Oreochromis niloticus: one gene and its partners. The protein of the gene in region 3 binds, or shares a complex with, the protein of the main gene of each other region. Links are inferred from orthologs where the notes say so. Each region holds a gene or a part of one and is shown on either strand. Other genes may lie near its edges. The genes, in order: cwc15, cript, snrpd2 and gemin2.

Region 1 (7,532 bases), on a different chromosome or scaffold from region 3:
TTAATATGAAGACAATTTATTGAAAAAAAATTAATTTGACAAGAAATGCGACAGACAGGGTGTATTGTGCCTTTCACCCAATGACAGCTGGGATGTGCCTGATTTAGACTTCTGCAGGAAATCCAAGTTGTTCTTTCTACTGCAACCAGAAACCCGTCTTAACTCTACGCTCTAACCTTCCATGTCATTCAGTTGTTGCAGTCTGCTTCGACCTGATGTGTAGCTATATTTCTCAAGTGGTGCAGATCAGGTTGCGGTGTAGGGTTAAGAAGGCTTTCCGGTTACGTTACAATTTCCCACAGAAGTCTAAATCAGGCTCCAGCGCCCCTGTGCCCTTGAATAAGATAAGCAGAAAAAAGTCGATGGCAGATGGCTGCATAAAGAAATAAAGGCTTGACTGCAGATCTCTACACTGTTTAAAATGAAATGTTTGTGTGTGTGGAGTGGCTAAACAGAAGGAAGACATTTCCATCTGATGATCTGACTGGATCCTAATCTAACTGTGCATTTGTGGAGATGCTGGTTTATATAATCTCTGCCAGTTTATTGAAAAAAACCCAAAAGAAAATAAATGCTTGGTCACATTTAAAAACTGCACTTAACTTTTGACAAATTTCACTCAAAGATGTCACGTTGACACATTTATATACAGCATGACTGTACAGATGGATACGTGGTTAATAGCATGGATAGATGGATGACTGTACAAGTATTAATGAAGTTGTATACAGAGTTTATTTGAAAAACCATGTACCCTCTGCAACAGAGGGTAGAGGAAGGAGACCAAACACATTAGATAATAAAAACAAAAACAATACAAATAACACAGAGGAAGTCCTCTACTTTACATATTTCTCCATAAATTTTTTGTGAAATTCAGAGCGCAGTGTGTCATTGACAAAGCGTTTCTCCTTCCGTGCCTCATCCACTCCTTTGGCGCAATTCTTGAACACTACGTCATCATCCCACCTTGAATAATATTAGGAAATGAAATCAAGATTAGATTTAAGAGGTCTTTTTCTCAAATACAAAGCTCATCCTGTGGTTATACTGTGGGTGACTGTGTATAAGTGAGACATACCTTCTCTTGACTCTGAATGTATTCTGTGTCTGGTTCTGTTGCTGCTGTCCAGCCAAATTAATCAGTGGATTGCCGCTCAAGATATTTTCCATTCGAATTCTCTCCTCCTCTGCCTTTTGCTCTCGCTCCTAAGATGGAAAAAAGAAAATTTTACTTAATACAAAGAAATAATATTTCTTCTGACCAAATGTAACGTCTTATTTTAGTTAGTGCAAACAGAACAGCCTAAAACACAGTTACTTTGCGTTCTTGCTCTTCAGCACGCTCTTTTTTAATCTTCTCCAATTCAGCCAAAAGAGCTGCAGTGTCATCATCATCACTATCTTGATCAGAGTCCTCGTCCTCATCATCCTAATAAAATAAAAATCATTGTTAAGGGAGATTAATCAGTACTAACCACTACTCAAGTTAAGTGCCCAAAATGTCTTGCATTGTAGACACTCACATCAGTGAGAGGATCATCAGCATCAAGGTTAGCAGCTGGGATCTGATCCAGTCTTGGCCTCTTTGAAGATGACGAAGAAGATGATGATGATGTGGTGTGCTCTGGAAAAAATAAGACCAACATAATGCCATATGTGAGAAAATAAATATACACTAAAATATATTTTACATAAACAGGAAGTCTAATTTCTGCAGAAAGACCAACCTCTTGGTCCCCTCTCTCTGGTCTTTTCACGTGCTGCTACACGCTCCCTCTCCTCCAGCTCTCTACGAAAGTCACGGGCACGGACCTCCTCAGGGGCATCCTGGGTAGGTTGCCTGCAGAAGGGAAAACATTAGCAGATCAATAAATTGTAATTTTCGTCCAGAACGCTTTCTGGAACACTTTCACCAATCTCACAGTGAGCAGACAGATAATGCAGTACAAACTGATCCGAAAGCATCTTTCCTTCTAGCTAACCAGCCAGCAGATCAGGCAATGATAAAACTCCATTCACATTTGATCTTCTGACCTGTACTTGATCTTTGTGTGACCTGGAAGATCTCGACTGGAGTATTGCTTGGAGAGAGCACTCAAATCACCTTCTCCTTTACCCCTCCCTCCTCTTGCCGGCTCAAATGTTGGTCTTGCAGCTGTAGTCATCTTTGATGGCTCTGCAATGGGACAAAGAAGACATTAAACCTATCAAACAGGTGGAAAAGTTGCAAGCAGAAAAAGCAGAGCAGACACGGTGTCCATAATCAAATTGTAGTGCCCTACAACACAACACGCTTTTACTCCACTTATGTGCCTTATAGAAAGTCAGAAGGCTCATCTTTTTGGTTTTTAGACAAGCTGGTACAACATACCCTTTCCCAAATATCAATTACCTACTCATTAAACCTCAGTGGTGATCAAACCGCTTATAGTTCACGTGTATATCTATATTAGCAACGTAAATAACAGTTGAGAGGCATTTAGATGACAAGTTACGTAATTTTCCTAATAAATATCATTTGTTCACCTGCTAAAACTCCAGGTCAACCAATTAAACCTATAATTAACAATTTTCTGATTAAATTGAGACTGTGGCATTTTAAATACTTCTTTGTAAGATAAATATCAGCTGCTAAAAGGCAGTAAATGAAAAGAACAAATTAGCCTGCTAGCTGCTAAAGCTAAAACGCTGCTACGCTAACTTCCTATAACAACGCCGATGAGGTTGAAAACGACACTAATTCGAGCCTTCGGTAAGACGGATAATGTTTCAGAGAAGTGATATTACAGCCAAAAATAAAGGAAATTTAAAAAATTCATTAAGCAGTATTTAAAAATTAGGTTTAAAGAAACAACACTTACAAAGCCGCTACCACACGACGAAAGGAACACCGATACAACAATCAACGTCACTTCCGGAAAAAAAAGATGCGTTCAGAAACACTCAGAGAAAATAGCGTGCGAAAAATCAGAGATTTTAAACTTCTTACATCTCAACATAGCGTTGACACCACTAGGGTCTACGCGTATAACTTAACAAATATGCTACAGCCTCTCTAAATTTTATTTTGGAAACCACCACTTCCGAAAGACTGATAGACTAAATAGACTGCAGGGGCATCAGCGGAGGAGTGACCTGTCTTCTGAATAGTGCGTTGTGTTACAGTGAAGGAGTTAAATGAGGATGCTGTTAAGTGCAACGCTCAAACAGATGCGTAGAAGATGCATTCAAAGCAAAACCTCCCTGTAATGGTCACACAAACAACTCTAACACAGTACAGGGTGGGCCATTTATATGGATACACCGTAATAAAATGGGAATGGTTGGTGATATTAAAGTCCTGTTTGTGGCACATTAGTATATGTGAGGGGGCAAACTCCTCAAGATGGGTGGTGACCATGGTGGCCATTTAGAAGTCGGCCATCTTGGATACAACTTTTGTTTTTTCAATAGGAAGAGGGCCATGTGACACATCAAACATATCGGTAATGTCACAAGAAAAACAATGGTGTGCTTGGTTTCAACATAACTTTATTCTTTCATGAGTTATTTACAAGTTTCTCTTTGTGCACAGCCACTGACATGTCGAAGAGGTTAACACGTGAGGAGCGGATCGAAATTGTGTTGATATCTGGTGAACGTTGTAACCGGGTCATTGCAGCAGATTTCAATGCAAGACACCCTACGAGATCACCCATCTCCCATGCTACAGTTAGCAAACTGCTTGCTAAGTTTCGTGAAACTGGTTCAGTGTTGGATTTGCCAAACTGTGGACGCAAGAAAACTGTCACGAATGAAGAAACATCAGTGGCTGTCCTAGCTTCATTCAGCAAGAGCCCACAGCGTAGCACTCGCCGCATGTCACTGGAGAGTGGCATTAGTCGAACATCCCTTTGGCGGATATTAGCTACTCACAAATGGCACCCTTACAAACTCCAGCTACTGCAGCATCTCAACGAGGATGACCCAGATCGGTGCACAGAATTTGCAGAATGGGCAAAACAAAAATTGGAACAGGACCCTCAGTTCACGCAGAAGATTTTGTTCAGTGATGAGGCAAACTTTTATGTGAATGGTGAAGTTAACAAACCAAACCACCGCTATTGGTCTGACACTAACCCACATTGGATGGATCCCTCCAAGACTGTTGGACCAACAAAAGTGATGGTTTGGTGTGGTATATGGGGTACAACGATAGTGGGTCCATTCTTCATCAATGGAAACCTCAAGGCCACTGGATATTTGAAATTGCTACATGATGATGTGTTTCCCTCTTTATGCACTGAAGCTGGCACGTTCCCTGAGTTTTTCCAGAAAGATGGTGCACCACCACATTATGGGTGCCAGGTCTGAGCATTCCTAGATGAACAGTTTCCTGGAAAGTGGATTGGTCGTCGTGGGCCAGTTGAATGGCCCCCAAGGTCTCCTGATCTGACCCCCTTAAACTTTTATCTTTGGGGTCATCTGAAGGCAATTGTCTATGGTGTGAAGATATGAGATGTGCAGCACCTGAAACTATGGATACTGGATGCCTGTGCTGGCATTTCTCCTGCGGTGTTGCTATCAGTGTGTGAAGAGTGGGAGAAGAGGGTTGCATTGACAATCCAACACAATGGGCAGCACATTGAACACATTTTATAAGTGGTCAGAAACTTGTAAATAACTCATGAAAGAATAAAGTTATGTTGAAACCAAGCACACCATTGTTTTTCTTGTGACATTACCGATAAGTTTGATGTGTCACATGGCCCTCTTCCTATTGAAAAAACAAAAGTTGTATCCAAGATGGCCAACTTCTAAATGGTCACCATGGTCACCACCCATCTTGAGGAGTTTGCCCCCTCACATATACTAATGTGCCACAAACAGGACTTTAATATCACCAACCATTCCCATTTTATTACAGTCTATCCATATAAATGGCCCACCCTGTACATTCAGTAGTTTTGTAGTAGTGTTGCTACACTCACCAAAATTCCTACTGCTATTATTCTATTATTAGTAGTAATATAACTTAGTTGTGTTGAAAAAGACACACACTTTTAACGTTGGCCCCTTTATGTTTGTAACATGCATTTTAATGACACAAAAAAAAGTACACTCCTTCATTACTAATTGTACACATCATTCACCACTTCGATGGTTTCTCTTTTATCTCGATACTGTTCTGTGAGAGAACCAGGAAAAGAAGTGGTTCTACTGGATTCCACTTACCATTCAAATATTTTTTGTCTAAGCAGCAATACTTTTATTTGTATTTGTATTGTATCTTTATTTTGAACATGTTTAAATAGACAAACAAGCAAAGCAAAACTAAAGGAAAACAAAACAATAATAATTATAAATAACTTACATGTTCAAAAAGGAGTAGGAAGAAGCATAAAATTATTTAATCCCACCACCTTTCCACTATTTAGTAACTAATAGTCAACACTTTTTCTTCCTGTTCATGCCCTACCCATCATAAATTCTTCCTTACAATTTGTTACATGTATTTGCTTTTATTACCTGAGTAACACGTCAAAAGATATACAAATTTACAGATATATATACTTATACTTGTGCACCCACACATACACATCCCTATTGTGAAACTTTACAAACTGAAGTATAGAAACTGGGAGAAAACTGGAAAAATAAAAAAGAATGACACAGTTATAAAAAAAAAAAGTTAAACATTTTCATGGCATCTTTACAGGTTTTGAGTTAGCCTCAGTGAAAGAAAGTGAATACCCTTACGTTTAAAAACCTGAAAAGTAAATGGACCAGTTCTTATATACTGGTTTTCTACTCTACCTGAGCACTCAAAGGACTTTATACAAAATGTTTATTCACACATAAAGTGCTTCCTGTCTAACACTCACACTCCAATGAACACACTGGAAACAACTCAGGGTTCAGTATCTTGCCCAAGGATGCTTTCGGCATGCAAACTGGAACAGCCAGCAATTCAACCACCAACCTGCTGTATACCCTATGAGCCACAGCCATTACAAGAATTAAAAAACACATTAATCGCTTTTGCACACAGAGTCCCCTGTACACCCACAGACCAAAATGTGAATATTTCAGTTTATTAAAATGTAAAGTAAACATCAGATAATGAGGTTAAGCTTTTCTCCGTGCTCTTTTATTTTCACTGGAGAGAATGGGCATTTCGGTTCAAGGATTTTCAATGTAAATATTATTAAAAAGGTCTGATGAGACAGTAGATTAAATTCGAACAACTCTGAGATCTGGTCCCGCTTGATTCCTAGAAGCCTACCAACTGGAACAGTATGCTTGTGAAAGAAAGTCTTTGTTGTGGGTGAAACAATACTACAAGCTTTTTATATTTGAAAAAAAAAAAAAACTTTTGTGGTTAATGATATGCAGGTTTTCAGTTGTCTACTTTTTTTTCTGTGGCACAAAGGCTATTGTTCAGGGATGGGCAATTAATTTTCCCATGGGGCCACATGAGAAACTGGGACTGTTGTGGAGGGTCGCACCAATAAGTGTATAAAGAGATTACATTAATATTGAGCAGAATTGAGTTCAGTTTAATCCCCTGCTATAGCCATTAGTAGGAAAGAAAACAGGATCAAGCACTAACCTGCAGGGTTCATTTAAATACCTTTAAGCTGTCAGGCAGGTTATAAAAGCCTATTTTTAATTTGCTTCTCAGCAAAGACTGAAAATCTCACTAGAAAACATCTCTGGAATGTGACTTCTCACACTCACAGAAAAATCGAAACCACAAAACAGTGCTGTCCCTCTTATCACCCAGCCTATCCGCTTGCTCAATGAGCCTGTGTAGCATCATCCAGGTGCGGCACTTCAAAACTAACAGGGGAGAGGGGTGGGGGCGGGATCTGAAACTGCAGGGGGTGGGGCTCCGGTGAAGGTATTTCTGCTATCTCATTCGCGTGTCACAGAGACCCGGAGGAGGACCGACACTGATCTGCTCTGACACAAACAGGTGAGAACACAATACGGCACAAAAATGGACTTCACACCCCTGTTCACGGCCTGTGTGAGAAGGGGCTCATTACCAAATCTGAATTGCTTTCCTTTTCTATGAATAATGAATTTGACCTGCTTAATTGGGGCTGGCACATCTCCAGAAAGATTCATCACAAGAGATTAAAGCACTAAGCACAGGTCAAAATGTTAACAGGCGCTTGAAGAGAATACAAAACAGATGCGCAATATGACAAGATGCAGAGAGACTGGGGAGAGGGTAGTGCACAAGGGACATTTGTTAATAGTGTTTACAAGCAGATTAGATTTTTCCACAAGTTTTATTGTGGAATGCCTTCTGGTATGCTCAAATGGTTTTATTCAGATAATAATAACTGTCCATGTGTGTTAATAACAAAGAGTAAATGCTTCAATATCACTTTATCATGGTGGATTAGTTTTTATGTACATGAATACAGCTTTACAGGTTGCGAAGGGGGGTGAAGTGGGAATGTGTGTAGAGTATGACAGATAAAACATAGTGGTTGTGCATTAGAAAAACTGCTAGAAAAGCATTTTAAGTTTTTCAT
Region 2 (7,956 bases), on a different chromosome or scaffold from region 3:
GTGCTTTTGCACAGGAAAGATGAGCGAGGTTATTGGTAATGTCAGCCATGTGCTAACTGTCTAATTTTACTTATACTGCACGGTGTTTGGCCAAAAAAAAGTTGTTTAGCCCGTGCAACAGGGACAGTGATTGATTAATGTACTGTGATCCACTCTCAGATCCTGTTTAGGTAGCTGTTTGGGGAGTTTATTTCCCACTTCCAATATGAAGAGAAAGGTTATACAAGCCAGGAAGCACTGGATCTCAGTTAACCGTTCTCATAGAGCAATGATTGATATCAGCTAAGTGGGTAAAAATCTTTATTCTTTCCTTTCATGTTTTTTTCTGTAATTACTAGTAACGGATGCTAATAAGATGCTTTCTTGAGAGTAGCTTTACATTAAAAGTTATAGCCTTATAGTTATAGCCTTCATCAAGTCCTCAGTGCTTAGGCTCAGTGGAGTTCACCTTACAATAACAACACATTTGCTCTGTGTGATTAGCACATCATAGCTGCAGATCTCAGGCCATCTATCAGTGTTTTCCTAACCACTTATCCAACTGTCATAGCGTGAGAGACACGGTACAGCAAACACAGCCAACACAGAGAGACAACTTTTCACTCTCAAATCCACATCTACAACTGATTTATAGTCAACCTAACAAGCATGTTATCATACTGTGGAAGACACATCAGCTCCCAGAAGAAGTTTGAACCCAGAACCTTCTTGTAGTGTGGTGACAGTGCTAACCACTGTACCACACTAATCTCAGGGCAAACCCGGTATTTCCTTGTTTCTCACTTCAGCAGCACTTATATAAACAATTAATGGTTAAAGAGTGTCATCTAGTGGTAAGAATTTAGTTGAAGTTTACTTTAAGAGTTAAATTCTAAAAATTGGACTAAAATGAGAACTTTTAAAGTTCATAGAGTCACATTATAACATGTATAAATGTTTAAAACATATTCAACCATTTAAAAAAGTTTACTTGCTAATCTCATGATACATCAGTGCAGTTCTTTATATGTCTGCTATGCCCTCCGATTGTTTGGCCACTTCATGAAAGACAGCTGCTCTCGCCTGTCTTTGTTGCAGTTCTCCCACACCTGACTGCCAGAGCCGTACGGGATTATGCTTGTTTGTAAAATCCATGTAATTAGCTCCAGCAGCAAGTGCCCCTTTGCATTTAGTCACCAAGCTAAGAGATGCATGTTGATTCAGGATTACTTATAGTGATCTTGGGAGTTGAACTGTGGCAAACCTGTGGGACCTGCTCTGTTCTGTTGTGTTTGGTTAAACTTGTCTGTATGTTAGCAGAAGCTTTTGTGGCCAGGCAGGGAGCGTAGGCTTTGTATTTGTGCTTTGACATGTAACTTGGTGCTTCTTTTCTTTTTTAGCAATAAAAATAAGTAGTTTTTTTTCTGTTTACTTTATTATTGTAAATTGATTGTAAATAAATGCCTTGTTTGTTCGACAATCTTGTATGAATGTTTGTGATTTGGTCTGCTGGTATGTTATGTTGTACTCCATGCCCTCCATAAACTGCAGATAAAAGCCCTTTAGATATGCAAGTCAGAGATGATTGTAGGCTTATATTCTTGAGTTACTATCACTGGTTTTAAAGAAAAGAAAAGAAAAGAAAAGAAAAGAAAAGAAAAGAAAATTGGATATCAGGTCATCTCCAAAGTACATGTATGTACATTGTGAATAATAGTAATAGTAATTTTGGACTTTAAATTATTTCTTTCAACTGTTCCTTTTCCAAGGGAATAATTGTACAGAACACATCTTGAATGACTTTAAAAAAACAAACAAAAAAACAAAAACAAGAATTGGGTGCACAGGTTTGGATTTTCTATAATCCACACAGGGTCAAAAGTATACATACAGGATCAAAAATATACACACACTATCATAAGTTTTTCATTAAATGGTGCTGAATGTTCTACAATGTATTTTAACCTGACAAGGCCAAAACTTCTTAACTCCTCCTCAGTGATCATGATTGACTACAACTGGTAGTTTCGCTTTGCTAACACAAAAATAATTTGTTTTACAACACTCATTGGAGTCATCAATACTCAGAACAATAGGAAAGTCAAAAGAACTCGGTGAAGATCTAAAAAGCAGAACTGTAGATTTACAAAATTAGGTACTTTTCTTGGAGCAATTTTAAACAACTGTGGACTCCAAAATCGTCAGTTCAAACAACTGTATGTAAATACAAACTACTTACATGTGCTACCACTTTGCCAAGGTTTGAATGAGGACGGAAACGAGGAATCACCAAGGCACAAGATTGGTCATGAACTAGAAACTTTTCGAACACCATCGTTCATTTGAAGTGACTTTTATACTGCAAAGGACTGGTGGTAGCATAATGCTGCCAGTGATACTGGTAGACTGCATAAGGTGGATGGAATCAAATAAGGAGCCAGAACTATGCCACAAACCATATTCTTATTTTTCTTTTGTTTGTTTTAAGTCATTCAAGCAGCCCTTGCACACTGGTGACATTATGCCATTGAACTGAAACAAATCCAGATTTTACTCTGTTCACCTGTTGTATTCCGGGCTCCATCCTTCCAGGTGTCAGGAGTGATGACCTTACCGAGCTTCTTCTCACCTGGAGATAAAAAGCAACGCAGCATATGTAACAAAAGCAACGCAGTGGATTTAAAGGAAATAAGCCTAGAAGGTGAAGGTATGTTTTCCTGAACCAAAACAACAGTGAGGACAGTAATAACAACAGTTAGCATCACATAGCGTTAGCCAGCTTTCTAAGGATCATCGAGCTTCTCTTAACGGGAAAAAAGACATTAGAATTGAAGATCTAAAATAAATTAAGTGATAGGAGAATGGCGAGATACCTACACTTTTCACAAACCATTGTCCTTCTTTGTTTGTTAAAATAGAAGCAGAAGCGTTAGCTGCGTTTAGCTTTCTCTGTTAATGTAAACTTCCGGTCGTTACTTCCGTTTCCTTGCAGCTCGCAAACGATTGATTGGTTAAAGCCTAGATTTCAAATCTCAGATGCCATTGGTTAGCTTTACTGCGCTTCGGCGAGGGTCCAAGTAACCCGTTCTGTGATTGGTTGCAGTTTCCCCTGTTCATCTGTAAAGTGGACGAAAACCTGTAAGTTTTCTTTAAAAATTAAAAGTTTGCTGCTGCATTATTTCACACGTGTGAATATAACGTGTGAAATATAACGTATGAAATACGTGTGAAATAATTAAATCCAATAAATAATAATAAAAAACTTTTAAAGCTTACAAACAGTAGGCGACTATAGCAGTCAGGCAGAGATAGTTTAAAGAACACTGAAGAATCTCATTTTTCTATTTCCCGTCAGAATAACGTTATAGCAGTGAAAGTAGAAAAAGAATGGCCCTCACTGATAAATAGTGGTTCACATCTAGCTACATGTGACAGTGTTCACATGTTCTGATTAAATAGGGAAACTGATTAAATAAAGGATTATGTTCAAACAAGTATACCACAAACATACAATTTGTTTTCAACAAAAAAAAAATCTGTGGTAAAAGTGGCTTAAAACAAAATCCACAATAATAATAAAATGAACGGTGGTTTATGGATGTAGTAAAGGAGGATAGGGTGGAGAGGGTTGGTGTGACAGATGAGCAGGGTAGTGGTAGGATGAGATGGAGGCAGATGATCCACAGACCCATAAAGGGAGCAGCTGAGAGATCTGAAAATGGATTAGAAAATGTTCTACACAAATATAAAAACACAAAAGTCTCAATGACTCCTTTGTCACTTTGGATTGAATTACACTGGACCAATTGCATTGGCCCAGGTCTCACATGTGAAAGATGAGAAAAGCCCATCTCCCACCAACCATTCTCACCACCTACTACAGAGGGAGTATCGAGAGCATCCTGAGCAGCTGCATGACTGTCTGGTATGGAAACTGCACCGTGTTAGATCGCAAGACCATACAGCGTAAAGTGAGAACAGCTGAGAAGATCACTGGAGCCTGTCTTCCCTCCAACACAGACACTTATTGAATCAACTGCATCCACAAACCCACCAGCATTGTGGAGGACCCCACACACCCCTCACACACACTCTTCACCCTCCTGCTTTCTGGTAAGACATACCGAAGCACTCACGCCCTCAGTGCCAGACTACAAAACAGTTTCTTCCTCCAAGCTGTCAGACTCCTGAATACTCAGAGACAAGACTGACACACCCACACACCTTTATACATTCCATTACCTCAAGTACTTATTGCACAATGCTAAAGTCTTTTTGTAAAACTATTGCACCATCTTGTGTCTGTATGGTTCTGCTCTATCTGGTGTCGCACTGTTTTTTGCCATTTTTGCACACTTGCACTTTAATTAGTCCTGTGTTGATTTACTGTTATATGTAGCACCATGGTCTTGGATGAAAGCTTTTTCGTTTCACTGTGGCAGCAACAAATGTATACTAAATGCATGGCTGTCTGTAATATATTTAAAGTTGTTAAAACTATAATGTACTTTTATTGAACTTTGTCTTGCCTCATCTACAAGGAATAAGTATTGTACTTTTATTTTGAAGTGAAAGCGGAAGTGAGCATGGTTCCATGTTTACGGAAACAAGGTCAAGCGATTCATCTATGGATGTTACCTGTGCTACAAATCCAGCGTTACGTTGAGGTTTAAAGTGTTTTGTGTTCAATTTGTCGGTGTCCTGTTGTAGTTCGCTACAGCCTTCACAATGTGGGACCATGAAATCAGAGCCATGGCGTCCACTCACGCTATCATCGCCGCTTCGGTGTTCATGGCGACGGTGCTACCTGCTGTGCTCGTACCGGGCTTCTCGGTGTACGGCACACACCTGCTGTGGCTCTACTCGGTGTCCGCTGCGGTCACCGCGGTCAGCGTGGCCGTGTTCTGGCTGCTCGGGATCACACCGCCCGCCAAGAAGCACACGCTGGGATACAAGGTGCTGATAACGCTTTAATAATGATGGAGTGATGTGTGCAGTGCCACATGGGCTGTTTTATTTTTTTTAAAAGTGCAATCAATGCAGTTTTTAAAAGAGGGTTTCATTTGTTAAGGGGGGAAAGCGATCCAAACCGACCTGGCCCTATGTGAAACACTAATTGCCCCATTCAAATTTTGTCTTGCTAGTCCACAGAATATTTTCCCAAAATTCTAAGGGGATCAATAAGATGCTGTTTGGCAAATATGAGACAAGCTTTTGTTTTAAATTTGGTCAGCAGTGGTTTTGTCCTTGGAACTCTTCCATGGATGCCATTTTTGCCCAGTCTTTGTGTGTGGTTTGTGGATTGTGGTGTAATGTGTTGCTCTTAGACTACTCCACTTTGTCAGACAGACTCTGTTCAAGTGATATTTTAATTCAACACGTCTGGCAGTAATCAGGCCAGGGTATGGCAAGTAAAATTAAAGTTGCCTTTCCAAAAAAAGAAAAACATCTTGACTTATTTGTATATAAATTAATGTGAATACTTGACTCTTGCATGTTCATCAAACCAAGATCTTTTTTCCCAGGAAGTGATCTTTTTATATCTGGATCTTAAAGGTTTGACTGTTTTCTCGCTGTTTTTTTTCTGCAGCTGTCGAGGTTGCTTCGCTCCTGCCTGTACTTCTTCCTGTCGTGCCTGTTCTTCCACACTGTTGTTGTCTTATACGGAGCTCCACTGATCGAGTGAGTTGTTGTTTTTGCTCGTGTTTACATGTATGTGTTTAACAGAGGTTGATAAAGAGAGACGCAGAGAGCAGAGATCGCCACAGTAATACACAATAAACTAAGGATCCATGGAAGGATCACACATAAATGAATGAAAACAGCAGGCAACTACAGAAATCTTCAAACCCTGAAATGATTCTGTCACTTATAAAAAGTCAAGTGAACTGAATTTCCCAGAGGAACCCACCCGAGGGATTAATAAAGTTTCATCTAATCTAATCTAAAGTGTTTTACTTTGTCTCTGCTTGCTTTTTTATGTGCTTTTTTTTTTTTAAACAAAAAACAAAACTGTCAATAACGCTCTTATTGTAGTTGTCGTTGATACCGTGAACCTATCATTTCTTACAGATCTGCCTTAGAAACATTCTCCCTTGCTGTGCTGCTGACTTCGTTAACCACGCTGAGGTGTCTCTGTGTCCTCGGCCCCAACGTCCAGGCCTGGATACGAGTCTTCAGTCGCCACGGGTAAGGCTGAAATCATTTTCCTTCTTTTTCTTTCCTCCTGGCTTTTCACATGACTCTGTGTTGAAGATAGTAACTGTTCTTGCTTTTTCTTTGTCTCTGGCTCCAGAGCTATGTCTGTGTGGGACACCTGTCTGCAGATCACTGTGGCCTGCACACTTGTTGGAGCCTGGGTCGGAGCATTCCCCATACCTCTGGACTGGGATAGGCCCTGGCAGGTAATTCTATGCATGGACAAAGCGTATACTCTTGGATTTGTATCCTCACATTAGGTCTTATACAGTCTAGCATGTGACTTTTTTATGTTTAGGCTCCTTTTTCATTAAATTACATGCTGCAGTTTAATAAACGGGTTCCTGATATTTCCTCTACACACATTCATTTCATTTAGATAAAAATAACCCAAGAACTGGCTCAGTCAGTAGTCTGGCTGTGGCACTTTGTAAGCAAATTAGCTGGCAATGAAGGTACATTCAGTACTTTTTCTTTCCCCAAGTGTCGACGCAGCAGATGGATCTACGTGTTTAATTTGGCACAGAGTTTGTGCCAGATGCCCTTCCTGACACAACCTTCACATTTATCTGAGCTTGTGACCCCGAGGCTGGGTTTGTGTCTTCTGGTCTGAAACCAGGGATCTTTTCCATCCCTGGTTTAATTTGTTAACCACTAAAGCACGGAGAATCAAATGTCAATTTTAAATTTTTTTTGCAAATAAAATGAATATTTCTTGCTTTGGAAGAGAGAGTCTGACTAAATCTCTAATCCACTGTATGTAGAAATGTTCTCTATCCACAGTGGAGTTTTTGCTCTTAAGACAGGGAACTAACACGACCATTTAAACCATATTACCCGCGAAGCCTCTCTTAGATTTTTCTGAGGTTTTCTCAAATGACTGCTGGATTCACAAAGGCCTCTTAACTGCATGGACTTGTAAATTACTGGTTTCATTTTGATGAATGGAGGAGGTGGATGTCCTTGTGTTTTCATTATTCCGTTAAAAATACCTTTAAAATGACCTTAAATGGGTACTTTTCTGCTTTGTTAGTTGGTGAGTAGCAAAAGTGTTGTAGAAGGGGAGAAAAGGAAGAGAAAACAGTAAAAAAATTGGAATACACGTGTATTAATAGCAGCAACATCAGGCTGATGTGCTGTAGTGACAGAAGTAAAGATTGTCTTTCAAAAGCAGGAATGAAATGATAGGTTGCTATGGTGATATATAACACAAGTGTGCCAGAGGATGATACTGGGCACTAACCTGCATGAAGCCGGTGTGGTAGCTGTCAGAGTGAAAAAGCTGGTGTAAATTACACATTTTTTTTTTGTAGTTGATTTAAGTTGTTAACTTCCAAATTCTCCATCACGATGATTTTTTTTTTTTAAGCACTGGACAGAGTAATCAGCCAATGAATAATGAATTAGATTGTTTTTTTAATGGAAAATGGAACACATTAAAGTTATAATTGCACAGGGAATTCTGTGTAAAATGACTGAAGGAAAATGCAGAGGTAATTGGGGTGTAACTCAAATTGACAGACTAATAGTTCAGCTTCTCTTTGATGTATCGGACCAGTGTCAGGCTTTTAGTGAACAATCATGCTCACTTTTCTACTACTTCTGTGTTTTTGTAGGTCTGGCCTGTTTCCTGCAGTTTTGGCTCTTTGTTCGGCTACTTGACCGGGCTTGTTGCAGCTCCAGCGTGGATCCATTATCACCGCAAACAGCTCACATACAAGTGCAAGTGATAGTCAGACACACGTGTATTATGCCTGTGCTTGTGCGAATGTATCCACG
Region 3 (7,629 bases):
AGGGACTTCAAGTGGGCGACAAAGATTAAAGTCACCTTTTTGTGTCAGAACAAATCTAAAATACAGATAAAAATCCTCCTGTTTGTTTCTGTGTTCTGGCCGTGAATAATAAGCAAAGTTCTTTTTCTTTTTTGGCGAGACGTTATGGTGTCACTGTAAATGTTATGGTTATTCAAGTTTATCACATCATCATTTTAATTACTGGTAAAGTTAAAGACCAAGTCAGATGTTTGTGTGAAACCGTGCAGGGATTATTAAATTAATTCTTTAGTTGGAGCCAAAATGTTTTTTGTGTTCAGGGATGTTGATTTTTAGCCCAAGTGAACATAAATAGATGTACCAAATGTGATGAAGCTGAAATACTGAATTCTTGAGAATGGGATAAACAGACAATCTGAAAACATAAAACCAGTTTTTGTCAGAGAAATTAATAATATAAAGACTAGTCTACATTTGTGTAATGTAAACTACATACACTCTAAAAGCTGTAAAAATATCTGCACAATGTTTTCATCTCTTCATCACTTTTATTATGAAAATGAAAAAGACAGAAAAGCTCCGCAGACAAAGAAAAAAATTGGTCACTTTCATGCCTAACATTTTAAATGACAGTCAAAATGGGAGAAACATCTTTTTGATGACACGTTTTCTGTCTTAATAGTGAATTCAGTGATCCAACATCAAAATCAAAACAAATAAGGTTACGGCAACTACAATCAATTGCCTTGAGGAAGTGTAAGAAAAAAAAAAGAAAAGAATAGGTGAGCGGTTCAGAGAGTTCATTTTCCTGTGATCAGAGGATTTCTCAGCACCACGATGACAGAATCCCCCCTGAGGAACATTTTAGAAATGTAGCGGTCCTTATTTACGGGCTTCGACTTCTTCTTTCCCTTCCCGCTCTTCGGAACTTCTGTCCACATCTCCTTCACGTTCTCCAAGACCATGTTGCAATGCCTGAAATGCCGGTGAGGATGTAATGTTAGCAAGTTAGAGAAAATAAATGCATACATAAATAAAATACCTGTGATTTTACTCAGGTACTCATACATATGCATTTACATGTACATGTTCTGTGATTTTTTTTTTTTTTTTTAAATCTTCTGCAGTATCAGAAGAAATGATAAATAAATATTATACCTAAAATGGAAAAAACAAAACAAAAACTACTTTTCAGCTGCTACCTCATTCACAATGGGTTACTCCGGTGGGTAGTTCTGTATGTTTCAATTTCTATAACAGATCTTTCTGATGGAACGTCAATAGGAGTTGGCGGATCTTTCACTCATTAGGTGAGTAAACCAGCTCATTAAAATGATTGTATGTGCCTGAGGACAATGTTCCAGCAACATTATACAACAATTACAAACTAAATGTGTTTGGTTACTTTTACCTTTAAGACAGGGCAATATTTCATAATAAATTAAAGGTGCTAAATGTGACTCCAATGGAGAAAAATAAGAAACGAGTGAATACTAAAAAGGGACCAAAGTGACACGATAACATGTTATCACCAGTGGCTAGCAATAATAATGAAATAAAGGCTTAAATCTAACAAAACAGACAAAAGAAACAAGATATAAAACACACTGATATAAACAAGTAAGTCTCACATTATACCCTCAAGAGTGTTAAATACTAAATAAATGTCCAATTCGGTACCTGTCAAAAGCCTTGACTCTTCCGAGCAGCTTCTTATTGTTGCGACAGTTTATAAGGACCTGCGTGTTGTTCTTCACTGACTGCGTGAGGACTGAGAGGGGGCCGGTGTTGAACTCCTCCTCCTCTCGCTTCTGAAGCTCTTCAGGGGTCATCTCTGACTTGGGCTTTGTTAAGAGGCTCCTGCAAATGAAACAATGAGACAACATCATAACAGTATCCTAATAAGTGAGTGTGACAATAACAGTGGCATATATTTGAAATAGTAAAGTAGTACTATTGGAGGTTTTTTGTTATTAAGATAACACAAGACTTTATTGATCCCACAGCAGGGAAATCTGTGCGTTGCCACAGCTCAGGTACAGATAGACTAATTATACATTTTGATATTTTTTTTTATTATTAGGAAATTTTGCTGGAATTTATTCATTATTTGTTGTGTGACTACTTACTGAAAAAAAGTTAAGTGGAAAACTTAAACTGTACACGGTACACAAAGTAAAATGTCTCGCTACACCTGTAAAATTGGTATTGAGCACAGATGCATTTATCAGACAGCACACACACAACACACTGAAGCTTAAACCTAGCCATTTAAAAGCTTCAGTGGGTCATATTTTGGGACATGTTTGGGGACTTTTATGCTTTAAACTATTTAAAAAAATAATAATTTTTACGTCACTAGACTGCTACAGGTCGCAATTAGTTACCAGCATGAAAACGCACGCTCACACACTTTGTTTCTTGTTAGCATTTAGCAAACTAGCATTTACGCTATAGTCTGATTTCGGAATCAGTATTTTTAAACTGTACAACAAGGAAGACCAGATGTACGAACTACTTTTGATGTAACTACAACAAATCTGTAACACAGCTAGTTATGAAAAGGGAGAGCTCCGAAAGCGTCTACAAAGAATCAAGCACATCAAGCTAACCGGCCCGGGTAGCAGAAAGGCTAACAATGTTAGCCTTTTAAATGCTCGCTGTTAGCGGATTTCAGTGTCTGAAAGAATAACCAGTCTCTCACAACAATAGCTGATCATCACAGACACTTACATGATTTCTTTAGGTCGTTTTCAGCTCACTCTGTAACAATTCGGTCGTTTTCAGCTCGCTCTGCAACGATTCCGTATGGCTCGCGTGGATCAAACTACTTCCGGGTCTATTGGAAGGCGCTTCAAAAACGCCGCTACAACTACCGGGTTACTACAGGCTAACTGAACGGTACAAAAAAGTCAATCTGAAACACACCGTTTCCATCATTAATTGCATTATATTTTACATTTTATTCAATAGACTGCCTCTAAAAGCTGACTAGATATGATTTTATTATTCTACTCCGATGATCTATCCTGTTCACAAACTAATGACACATTAATTGCTGAATTTTAAGAGGTAAGACAAATATTTGTTGTTAGTCCAGAAAATCAGAGACAGAACATTTCATCGTATTTATCATCCAATTTTCTGAAACACAATGAGCGCATCAGGAACCCTGGCATTTTTTTTTTGGATAGTCAGTTTTGGTAATCATATAGTTTGATAAGAGTCCTCACATTAAGTCACTTCATTGGCTCCCAGTTGAGTACAGAATAAACTATAAATCCTTCTATTAGTTCATAAAAATTTTAAATGGTTTTAACTTTTATAGTAAGCCCATGAGATTACGTGTAGTAAAATATGGTATATACATATAAAATTGACATCACTGTTAACATATTAAATACAGGATAAATTCTTATGTAAGCATGCTCAAATTGTCTTTCAGTTTAAAAGCATAATTTTCTTATTATAGGGAATAGAGCAATTTTATGTTTTTTTCTGCAAAGAATACTGATACTCTAATAATAATAACAATAATAATAATAATAATAATGATAATAATAATAATAATAACGGTTTGGGACTCAATATAACTCAGACCTCTTAAGAAGATGTTATAGGATAAAAGAAATAAATCAGAGAGCAGTCAAACTGATATGCAGACTCAAACAGTTAAGTCATTGTTTTGCTCTTCGGTACAACAAGAACGAGTAAAAAGAGCACGTCTATGTCTGAGAGAGGGAGATTGGCTTTCTGGCAAGAGACAGACAGACGCCTATAGGTGTCCAACCCACCCACCTTGTTTCAGTGGTGGCAGATCTACCTGTCGAAAGCACTTGCTGCAGATAATGGCAGCCTGTGTGCTGCTGAGGGAGGGGAGTGTGATTGACTGGGATCGATTACCAGCGCTGCTGGGCTACATCTTTATGGAGCACACCTAGCTCAGCCAAAAGTCTTGCATCCTAAACTGTGGTGTAAAATGAGCTCATATACATGAAACGGAAAAGTGGGAGTCTGGAAAGACTTTGTTCAGTTAAGAGAGCAGGCAAATACTCAGTAACTAACCAAAAAGACAAGAAGAAAATATGTGAAACAGCCAAGTAGAAAAAGTAAAGTTTCCTTTTTGTTAACCTAAATTTTATTGGCTTTCAAAACAGACAGAACAGTGAGAACAAAAAATAAAGCAAAACATACACATTAACAGACATGCAGATGCACAAAGTAACTGTAAGATTCATTTAATTGGATTGTGTTTCTAAGAAAATGGATAGACCTGCAAGAAAGTGAACAGGATTTTAAAGGATTTACAATTCCCTCAGATTTATCAAAATATATTGTGGACATACTGTAAATCTTAATATCTTAAGTTTGCATCACTTCCCTCAAGCAGCACAAGGTGGCAACTTTTGTTATTTGCACTTCATTTACAGGAAGGTTATTATTCTCACCCAAAATCCCAAATATGGTGAAAGAGTCAGACTGAATTACTAGTCTGAAAAAAATATCTGACAGCACTTTGAAGACTGAGTTCAAACACGTGAACACGTTAGGACACCTCCAGAAAGCGTGTGCCAAAGAGGTGTGGGTATGACAGATTGACTCTACATTTGGAAAGGATTTAGAGTCTAATGTTAGTGAAACTGAACCTGTACAACACCTTACACTGAACAAGGACATGCCGGGCACAGACGGATAGCCACCCTCTCCCATAAGTGTTTTTTAAGCTCTTTTTCAGTGCACAACAAAAATCTGTTAAATCTGTTTGATTTATAATAATAATAATAAGAAGAAGAAGAATTTGTGGTAACTTGTGGTAACAAGGTTTCTTTTTGACAGAAAATACTGGAGCTTAAACAGAGCCTGAAAATTTTGCAGCGTGGGAGAAACAAGCTGGCAAACACTGATGCTGATGTTGATCGTCAAACAGGTGCACTTTGAGACATACTGATGCAGAATGTTCAGTGGCTTTAAAGAGCTGCTCTGTTTCTCCAAACAGAAATGATGTGGAGGGAGAAGTCGAAGGTCTGGCATGGACTGCTTCATGCTCAGCAACTGAATTCCAACCTAATTTTAAGGGAACAACAAATGCAGATACGTGAGGGTCTTCAAAGACCCTTTCCTACTCACCCAAATCAAACAGAACAAACAGAGGTGTTATTCCCACTTTACATTTTGTTGTACATTTTAAAAAATGTATCTGAAAACTGAAATTTGAGCAGAAAGAGATGATAACTAAAGAGTTTTTTTTTTAAAACTTTTGATTGGTTTTGAAAAAGCCATCATAATTTCTACATTTCTGCAGCTTCCTGCACACCAAAAACCAGCGAAACCTTATTGTAGCAGGGTGAATTATAGCTCTATGGTTATTAGTAGAGCTGTCAAACTAAACATGTTATTTATTGCACTAACAGCAAACAGTATCTTCTTACTCCTGCCTCAGGATACTTTGCACCAAAAGCTTGTTGCTTCACAGCTAAGCCCCCCCCCCCTTGCTGCTCTGCACACCACAGTGCCACAGTGCTTCATGCCAAAGTGTAAATATTATCTTTTGTATCTATCTAGACAGTGAGTTACCTGATCCAGCCCGGTCTGCTTTAACCACAGGTGACTGTGGATGTGGCTGGCTTTGGAAAGGTGGTGAGGTTTTTTTTTCTTTCTATTTATGTTTTTGATAAAGAACCCTTTGTTTAAAAGAGACAGCTGCTCTAATCTGCATCCACATACATCTATTAATTTAAATCTCCAGGGTGCAGCAGGGAGGAGAGGTGAGGGAAAGTTTAACAGGCAGTGATGTCAGCGCAGGTTGAAACACAAGACAGATCAATAAGATCTGCGCGACTGGAAATGCCATGTCTACCTGTTGAGGTTACATCACAACCTTTTCCACACGATATCTCCTCGAGAAACCTTTTTAGTGGAACTGTTCATAAACAAAAAAAGAATGGCTCAGAGCATACCCACACAGAGGCCTCTGTGCCTCACAACCTTTCCTTAAAACATTCAATCCAGTCTATATATAGTTCTTATTGTGCGGGCTCAAATCTCCAGAGTGAAACATTTAATAACACAGCCAAATAAGAACAATCAACAACAGCAGCTTTTAATGAGGTAAAAAGAAAACACAATTAAAAATGCATTATTTATCGTTTAATTACATGTAAGGTCATTAAAATGGGAATGTAATATATATATGGTTGCAACATTAACGAAATCGAAGACAATAAGTGCAGCAAATGAGCAGTTTAAGTATCATTTTCACATCGCATTTTCACCCAAACTGAAAACTCATAATTTAAAAAGTGGACTAAAAAATCCAAAAATCCAAAAAACCAAACCAAAAAACCCGGTTCCACCCGTTCGTTTAAAATTTAGCTGGAACCTTTTCGAAGTAATATTTTAATGTGTTGGACACCATGCTGGAGAAAGCAAATCCCTTCATCAAGAGTTATATATTTTTCGATTTTATTTCATGTTTAAAATCGTGTTTTCTTCTCACCTCCCTTCAAACCAAAACTGGTGACATGCGCCAAAAAACCCTTCACTTTTTGATACCAATAAACATACATGTGGGAAATCATTGATGAGGAAAGTTAACAAAGGATAATATTTTTTCTAGTACAATTTCAGAAGCAGATGCAAACTCGGTGAACGTTAATTGCATTAAAAAATGATCTGCGCATATCCGCGCATATCCTAGGATTTACATTATATGCAAAAACACATTTTTTTGCTCATTTTCGGAAATGTGTTTGTCGGATGAAGTATTTTAAGACTTATAGTCCACGCGTCATTTATTTTGGTCATTTAAACTTTGCAACTCTGAGAAATAATCCAAGTCTATTAACGCTTTTTTACTTAGAGACATCCACTGTGACGCAGACATTTGGGTAAATATTGCAGGATTTTTATCATTCATCGGGATTCTTTGGCTTTGCCTTTTGTTTCCAACAATTAGCAAACTATCTACAGCAATGTTTCAAATCTCACATACTGGCTGTCGGGACTGTTTATCTATTTCTCTATATTCCAAGACGACGGGCTCGGGCTGACTTGAGGGCAGTAATTTGAAAAGTCACCGCAGCATCCTCCGAGGTCTGAGTGACCGCTCTTGGGTAAAAACGTCGCCGCTGGTGTCTTGGAGGTGGCGCACTCCTCTTGACTAAACGTGGCGGCGCACGGTATGTGGTGAGAGTAAAAGTAGCTGGCTTGTCCGGAGATCATGTTAAAAGAGCACGGGTCTGTCAGCGGCAGCGTGCACGCGGGGATGGAGGTGGAGAAGGCGGTGCACGCGGCGCCGATCTGGTGGCGACGGGACTGCGCGCAACTGAGTCCGATGTAAGACATCTCCTGGTGCGTCTGCACGAACCGGTCAGCGTCCGCAGCGTTTGCGCTCAGTCGGGCCCGCTGTGAGACCACCGACGTGGCGTGGTTGGAGAAGCGAGGGTGCGCGCTCAGGTAAGTCCCCGCGCCAAGGTGGGTGCGCACCGGCGCTTGGAGAGGTAGAAACGGCGGAACCGGCCAGTAAAACGAACTGGCTGCGGCCAGAGTGACGCTAGTTGCAGTGCTGGAGGGCATCACACGACCGCCTCCTCTCTTCAACCCAAGCTTGGCCCTGGAGCCAGCTGCGGCTCTGCGCCGCAGTTTTCCCGA
Region 4 (7,321 bases), on a different chromosome or scaffold from region 3:
TCACCCTGAACAATTTAGACACTGGTGGTTTAAAAAAAAAAAAAAAAAACATTTAAGGGGCTCTCTTTACACAGAGTTCCATATAACAAAAATACAGAGAACCTTACCTGGCAACAAGACAGATGAGCAGGTTGAGGGCGGGCAGTTTATCATCTTCCTGGCTGTCCTGTGAAGTCATGCAAGCAGGGAAAAGACTATCAGAGTAAATAAAATCCCATCAAATCTCAACAAAGAACTAGAAAAACATGGCATGCTGTGGCCGTTTCAAGCATGGAGTGATAGCACATAGAGATAGTGCTTTACAGGAGATGGTAGGATTGTGGCCTACCAACGTGCTGCGGAGCTGGGCGCATCTCCGGGCGAGCTGTCGGATGGATGAGTGAGCTTCAGGCAACAGAGGCTTCTCCAAGCAGGCCAATAAAGCATACAACCAGCGTCCCTGAAACAAGAAGACAGACTGCAAACTCAAGTATTTCACAATAACTGCAGCCAATAAACCATCACCTTCTATATCTGAAACATAAGACAGAGGCTGAAGAAATGTTTGGTTTCATGATATCTGTGAGGAATGCATTCATAGTCAGCTCATATCTATCTTGAATGCAGCACAGGATCACTATAAATGCGTGTGGAGTTCGGAACCAGCATAAAAATGTGTCGCTAATACATCAGACTCACCAACTGTGGAACAAATTCTCGTTCCTCGAACCAGCCGATGAGGATTTCCAACACCATCAGCACTGTGGACTGTGGACAGGTGGGAAAACACAAACACACACATCGTCTAATCAGGCTTCGACTGGTTTAGAACATCTTGAATGTCTACAGAGGGATCGTTTACCTGGTTTAGTCTGCTGATGATGCTTAGGAAGGGAGGGAACCCCATCTGAACAGACAGAGAAATGCTGAGGTAAATAGAGCAGGACATATTTTGGGTCTGAAAAGTAATGCAGATGCAGAAGTGCTTTCACTCTAAATAAAAACACTTCCATTTACATAGAAATCTGTGGAAAAATGGCCCACAACTCCCTGATGACTCAGTCACTAGTTTCAGCTCACACTGAATACAAAATGAAGTGATTTTTTTTAAATTATTGGCATTATTAGGAAGATTTTCAATCACAGGTTGTTACTTGTAAGTGTGTGGTGTCAGGTCCAGTTTCAAAACCTCATTATCCAATGGGTGATAGACATGACCGACAGCTTCTTTACTGACAAAAAATCTTACAGATTGTATTCATGATGACACAAAACATTGAGATATAGCCATTACATATATAACCTTGCTATAGTCCAGTGCTGGCTCCTGTTCTGCATCTGTGTGGGTGGATGAAGTGCCCAGATAGACCTTCTCTCCTAAACAAAACCTCTTCCAACCCTCCTCATCCGTTAGCTTTGGCTGTAACACACAAATACGCGCATACATAAAATTTTAACATAAATTCTGTTTTCAAGTTTGCCTCTTGGAGAAAGACAGAGGGATTTATTAGGTTATTAGAGGAAAGCATTGCATGCTGAAGCATCAAATTTACACATTATCACATCACCATCAGCACGTTGTCATCTAGAGTCTGGCTGGTCCAGTGTTTCCTGTGCCTTGTGATACTCTAAAGGGAAAAAAATGTTGTAAAAGTTCATAAATTGTCAAATATCCACTTGTACAGATTTGTGCGGATTTGGACCTACAAAAAGTTTTAGTGAATTCTGTTAGGCTGTGCTATTGTATAATATCATAACAGCAAAAAGGCTCTTACCTGTCTGATTTCAGAGAAATTGCTGACTTGCTGTTGTTGCCATCTTAGACTTGGGGAGAAACCCACTGGAGCAGCATGACACCCTGCCACCTAAAAACCAGAAAACAACCCCACAAAAAATGTAACTGAGAAATAATCAGAACAGGTGATGCATTATTGAAATGTATTTTGTTTTATTTTGTATAGCATCTTCTTTTCTTTGCTAAATGAACTTCTGTATACTGTTTACATGATCAACGTAAAAATTGAACACAGCACAACATTTTTCAGAGCCTATCATTCATTTCTAACTGTGCAATGAAAACTATGAAACGATACTGAGAAAGATTCATACAGGTGTGCTCAGAAGTTTCCATCCACTCATCGTGGGTATGAATGTTTTGACTCTTTGTGGATTACAGAAAATCAAAAGTAAATTAAAACTTGTGCACCCAATTCTTGTTTTTCAAGGTTATTGAAGTGAATGCTTTAAAATCATTCCATCCTGAAAAAAAAAAAGAAAAATTCAAAGAAATCATTTAAAAGCCCAACATTTTTAGGCCATTCACATGCATGATGAGTGGGACTGACTGCTCACATCAAGGTAAAAATACTTGAAATACTTTGTTTTGCAGACACCACACAGTAACAAAGCTAATGAACCCTCTCACTATCAAGGTCAGGGGTTTGTAATTTTCTTTAATTTGTCATACACCTGGAGCATCAACTGGTCTCAATACATTTGCCTCTCAGTTTACTTACAGATACATTCACTGTTTGCTTCTTCCTTAGTTTTTTTGGGTCAATCTGAGCGACCACCACCTCTGGGCACAATGAAGCCTCCAGCCTGTCCAAAAGGAAAAAAGTTCATTGAAGCAGCACGACCACCTCAACTAATATATTAACACACCAAAGAGACAACAGGCAAAGAGAATCTAAGAGTTAATTACACGCGAGTATTAATAAGAGGTGTGTTCTTTAGGTTGGGATGCACTTACTGGACCTGTCGGAGGTACTCCTGGGGGTTTCTCGGCGGTCCGCTTAGGTCCAGGTCCTCACCGGTACCGGATCCACACTCCATGGGCAGCAGCCTCGGCATTAACTCCTCTACGTCTGACTTCATTGTGACTGAATGTGTAAGCTCGGCTAGCTTTTAGCTAAATGAAGCAGTCAAGCTCAATTAAAAATACGGACTCGCAACGGACCAAAACACTAACCTTTTACCAAGAGTAAACACAACCAGACTAGACCGCCATCTCTCTCGCAAAACAAACGCACAGTGATGACGTCGTCTTTGTGCGCGCGTTTGCCTTGTTGCCACAGCAACAGACCAGCTGTCAGTCCTGGAGAAAGGTCGAAAATAACAGAATGGGTCTGTTTTTAGTTGCCATGGCGTTTACCCGGAACCTCGTTTATGTGTGTACGCATTAAAATCTCAATTAAATGTCAATTAAAGCAATTTTCCATTAAAATTAAGTCTTGTAACGAAATAGAAACCTTTGACCAGCGAACTGATAATATTTGGTATTGCAAGCAGGCCTGAGATGTTAATGATTATCCCCATACTGGCCTTATATCTTATCTCAGCTGTTTCATTTAGTATTGAGTCTTCACACAGCAGCAGCTCAGAGGCAATGTTCACTTGCCAGCACAACGGGCCTGAGTTATTTCCACCCCACTATGGACATTTACTACTAATAGCCTCCAGTTAAAAGTCAGATAATCATGGCTATTTTTCAGGTCTCTAGGTTCCTGTGGTCACTGGGTGCAGTTTTAGTGATTTTACCCCACTTAAATCTCGGATTATTGTCTGACTACAAGATCTGCGGAGACTCTGAGTGTCAAAGTAAGTTCAAAATCTCCTGATAGCTCCTTAAATTAATGACGATAATGATGGTCACCTCACCCCTGTGTTCTATTGCTGTGGTGTGTGCAGGGCTCCTAAGCAGAGTGCAGGCCATAAGGGACCACCGTGGTAAGGACTGTCGTTTCCTGAGCTTCAGGCAAGGAGACACAATCTTTGTTTACCACAAATTGACTGGAAAGAGGAATGACCTGTGGGCAGGCAGTGTATGTGTCATATTTCAATCTTTTTTTCCTTTCTGTGCTTCCCTAAAGCTTCATTCATGCCAGGTGCTCACTTAGAGACAGACAGAAAGAAAACCTAATCCCTTGACCCCTGCACTGTAATACTGTGAGGTTTGGGGCAGTTTGCTGCCAGGGTGTTTCCCTAGGATGAAAGGGCAACCTCAAATCAATCAGTACAAACTTGTGTGATGACCTTTATCCTTTGATTGATGGGATTGGTCTTTTTCAGAATAACAGTGCCCCAATTCTCTGTGCAAAGGAAGAATGAATTATTTGATTATTATAAAAGATTATGTTTGCAGTCATCATCAATGCAGAAACACCAAATGACAGAGCATCTTTTTAAAGAATAATCTGTTACGACAAATGTTGAGATTTCTGTGTTTCTTCAAGGTAGAAAGAAGAAAAATGCTGACAGCTCCTTTGTTTCCTTTTTTATTTCAGATTGACAAAGAGTTTGGATATTTTCCAAAGGACACAGTGCAAGAAGAGGAGGTTTATACTACTGTGGAGAAAGTAGTGGAAACACAGGTAATTTCATCATTCACATGTAAACAAACTTTAAGTATTAAAAAGTATTGTAATTATTAGTATTATTTCTATTTTGTCTTCCTTGTGTCCTTCCGTAAGAATTACAATTTTGCCCTTTTTCTGCAGAAATCTGATTTCTTCTGCATGAATGAGTTTGGCTCCACTTATCTGGATATGGATGATGATGATGATGACGATGATGATTATATTGATCAGAAAATCCAAATCCAGGAGCCAGAAACCACCCAAATTACCCAAAGCACTGATGACACGAAAGCAGAAAGCCACTTAACAACCTCAGACTCCCCAGTTTCTGCACAGGAAGAAGAAGAACAAGAAGAGGATCAGAATAAAAATGTTGGTGGTTCCGGAGCTGGGTTTCAAGAGGAGACACATGAGATTCCTGTGGTTCCTAATCAACAAGGTGGGTCTCCCTCCTCTTCCTGGCTTGGTTCTTCAGTGACAGGATGGTTAGGTCTGGGTAAAGAGGACCAACCTGACAGTGTGGCTGAAGGGGAGATAGAAGATAAGAGGAAAGAAACTCAGGCTGAAACTTCGCTCACGTCCTCTGTGACAGGTTGGCTGGGCTTCGGAGGAAATGGAAAACCTGACAATGGCAAAGAAAGTGTGAAATTTAAAGAAGAAACTGCTGAATCGTTAACTTCAACAATGACTGGGTGGCTCAGCTTTGGAGGTGGAAGCAAAAGTGAGACAGAAGAGGAACAAGAAGCAGATGAAGACAAAGAACCCACAGAGAAATTCAGGAGCAGGAGGATGTCCTTGGACCTTGAAGGCAGCCAGTTGCAGGAAGAGGAGAAGAAAGAGATGGGGACTTTAGGTTGGCTAGGGAATGGGCTGTCAAGCACGCTGGGGTTTGGTTTGACCAGTCAGGAGTCAGGACAGGAGAAGGAGAAGGAGGAGAAGGTGCAGGCTAATTCTTGGTTAAACATGGAGATTGGAGGTATTCTAGGTTTCAGGAAAGATAAAGTTGGAGATGATGAAAACAAAGAAAGTGAATCTAAGGAGGTAGAAATAGTCACAACTTTAGAGCAACCAACAGGATCGCAGAATGTGGATCACAGTGAACCAGAGGAGGAAATTATTAAGACAAGCAATAATTCAAAGGAGGTGGAAGAACTGTCAGAAGACCAAAATACCCCTACAGAACCCCTTAATGGTCACAGTGTTGATAGCAACACAGATACTTCATACAGTGGGATAAACAGTGATTTCCATGAAGAGGCTGAACCCACAGTTGATCACAAAGATATTTCTCCTGATAGGAAGTTTGAAGAGGAATCTCAGGCTTTAGCAGAATCACTCTCCAGTAAAGATGATGATGACAATATAGAAAAAAGCAAAATTAATGAGGACAGATCTGCAGAAAGGGAAGGTGAAGACGCTGAACATATGGATAACAGCAGGGAGCCAGGAGAGGAAGAAAGAAAAACTCTGAGTGCTATCAGTCAGGATTCTATAACACCATCTGAAAGCATTTTGGGCCCTGATCACATTTCAGTGGATTTAAAGTCAAAGTCTGTGCTGGTCAAGGAAGATGAAAAAGACCAGATGGAGAACAAGAAATCAGAAAGTGTGGAGGAGGAAGGGGCAGAAATCACAAATCAAACTGATAACACAGAAGAAGAAACCACAGAATTGGCTCTTAAAATTGCCAGGGGTGACGATAATAAAGGAGAAGTCAGTAATGAGGATACAGATTTATCTGGAACTCAGACTGAGGAGCTGAACGGTGATGTAGAAGACAGTAGCAAAGATAGCCAGCCTCACTTACCGTCATCTATGGAGAAAAACAATCCAGTTCCAGCTGAGAATGAAAGTTTTACTCCTTATAGTGCTGAAACAAATGATGACAATTCAGATACAATAGCTCTTTTTGATAATAACACAGAAGCAGAGACAGTTCATGGGGAGTTAAAGCAGGAGGGAGAAACTCTGAGCTCACAGGAATTGGATTCACAGCATAACCCTGTCAGAAGCACTCAAACTATCCCAAAGGATGACAGAGGAACAAGTGGACTAGCCACAGATCCCTCTGTGTCTCCAGTGATGGAGCATATTGACAATGAAAGTGACAGTGATGCAGGCAAGCTAAAGGAAACTGTTGAAGACAACATAAACGAGTCCCAGCAGGTTAAAATAGAGATAGAGGCATCAGGCACTGAAGAAGATTTAAATGAAAATGACCTGAAGTCAGCGATAAGCTCTGAATTAGAGGCTGAAAAAGAGGAGGAGTCAAAGGATGGGGGGAATCAAGGGGTGATGAAGGTGGAGGATAACGAGGAACTGGAGGATTTAAAGGAGATAAAAGAGCGAAAGGAAGATGAGAAGGAGAGTAATGAGGCAGAAGTGGAGAGCATGCAGGGAGAGGTGGAAGACCTAAAGGAGGCTAACAAACATTTGAATACAGAGGAGGAAAAACACCCCAAGGTGGAGGAGTTAATGGAAGAAGGGGAACTGGTGGGTCTAGAGGGAAAAGAGAAGAAAGAAGGTGAAGGGAAAATGGTGAAAGAGCAAAAGGAAGATGAGGAAGAAAAGGAGACTAATGAGGCAGAAGTGGAGAGTATGCAGGGGGAGATGGGAGAGCTAAAGGAGGATAGAAAACAGCTGCAGATGGAAGAGTTACCAGAGAAGGAAAAAGAGGACAAGGTGGAGAAGTTACAGAGGGAAGAAGAATTGGAGGGTGTACAGGAAAAAGAGAAGAAAGATGAAGAGGGAAAAACAGTGCAGTCTTCTTATTATGAGGCAAAGATCCTGAGCACCATGAACACAGAAGAGACAGAAACCTATGACAAAAATACACAAGGTGAGAACGGCTCAGGATCATCTTTAACTGAAATAGTCGCACAGGTTGAAAGCCACCAAGATGTGGAAGGAAAAAATGGGGAGGATGGAGAGAAAAAAAAAGCCAAGGCAGAGGAGCTAAAGTTTGAAGAGACTGACCGAGCAGA

Evidence for each region.
Region 1: snrpd2 (region 3) and cwc15 share a complex: the UniProt entries of both Homo sapiens proteins name them as parts of the minor spliceosome. The link is inferred for Oreochromis niloticus from reciprocal best matches to the Homo sapiens genes SNRPD2 and CWC15.
Region 2: snrpd2 (region 3) and cript share a complex: the UniProt entries of both Homo sapiens proteins name them as parts of the minor spliceosome. The link is inferred for Oreochromis niloticus from reciprocal best matches to the Homo sapiens genes SNRPD2 and CRIPT.
Region 4: snrpd2 (region 3) and gemin2 share a complex: the UniProt entries of both Homo sapiens proteins name them as parts of the SMN-Sm complex. The link is inferred for Oreochromis niloticus from reciprocal best matches to the Homo sapiens genes SNRPD2 and GEMIN2.

Annotation. Positions count from the first base shown.
Region 1 is NC_031975.2:10,962,440-10,969,971, reverse strand, and holds the start of cwc15 (protein CWC15 homolog), read right to left. Parts: upstream 3,005-7,532; 5' UTR 2,865-3,004; intron 2,180-2,864; 5' UTR 2,169-2,179; coding exon 2,038-2,168; intron 1,844-2,037; coding exon 1,731-1,843; intron 1,628-1,730; coding exon 1,527-1,627; intron 1,433-1,526; coding exon 1,322-1,432; intron 1,210-1,321; coding exon 1,082-1,209; intron 970-1,081; coding exon 840-969; 3' UTR 1-839. UniProt on the Homo sapiens protein: Involved in pre-mRNA splicing as component of the spliceosome. Component of the PRP19-CDC5L complex that forms an integral part of the spliceosome and is required for activating pre-mRNA splicing.
Region 2 is NC_031973.2:10,623,944-10,631,899, reverse strand, and holds the start of cript (cysteine-rich PDZ-binding protein), read right to left. Parts: upstream 3,009-7,956; 5' UTR 2,873-3,008; coding exon 2,857-2,872; intron 2,687-2,856; exon of another isoform or gene 2,609-2,686; coding exon 2,543-2,608; intron 1-2,542. Other genes in the region: pigf (phosphatidylinositol-glycan biosynthesis class F protein), read left to right, coding at 4,708-4,935, 5,570-5,661, 6,052-6,168, 6,275-6,383, 7,794-7,907. UniProt on the Homo sapiens protein: As a component of the minor spliceosome, involved in the splicing of U12-type introns in pre-mRNAs. Involved in the cytoskeletal anchoring of DLG4 in excitatory synapses.
Region 3 is NC_031979.2:15,055,097-15,062,725, forward strand, and holds snrpd2 (small nuclear ribonucleoprotein Sm D2), read right to left. Parts: upstream 2,861-7,629; 5' UTR 2,715-2,860; coding exon 2,713-2,714; intron 1,840-2,712; coding exon 1,660-1,839; intron 955-1,659; coding exon 780-954; 3' UTR 508-779; downstream 1-507. Other genes in the region: foxg1c (forkhead box protein G1c), read right to left, coding at 6,991-7,629. UniProt on the Homo sapiens protein: Plays a role in pre-mRNA splicing as a core component of the spliceosomal U1, U2, U4 and U5 small nuclear ribonucleoproteins (snRNPs), the building blocks of the spliceosome.
Region 4 is NC_031983.2:25,158,305-25,165,625, reverse strand, and holds the start of gemin2 (gem-associated protein 2), read right to left. Parts: upstream 3,013-7,321; 5' UTR 2,857-3,012; coding exon 2,732-2,856; intron 2,581-2,731; coding exon 2,496-2,580; intron 1,845-2,495; coding exon 1,755-1,844; intron 1,608-1,754; coding exon 1,548-1,607; intron 1,400-1,547; coding exon 1,283-1,399; intron 887-1,282; coding exon 842-886; intron 748-841; coding exon 679-747; intron 440-678; coding exon 329-439; intron 167-328; coding exon 108-166; intron 1-107. Other genes in the region: mia2 (cTAGE family member 5), read left to right, coding at 3,123-3,149, 3,474-3,579, 3,670-3,803, 4,266-4,352, 4,479-7,321. UniProt on the Homo sapiens protein: The SMN complex catalyzes the assembly of small nuclear ribonucleoproteins (snRNPs), the building blocks of the spliceosome, and thereby plays an important role in the splicing of cellular pre-mRNAs.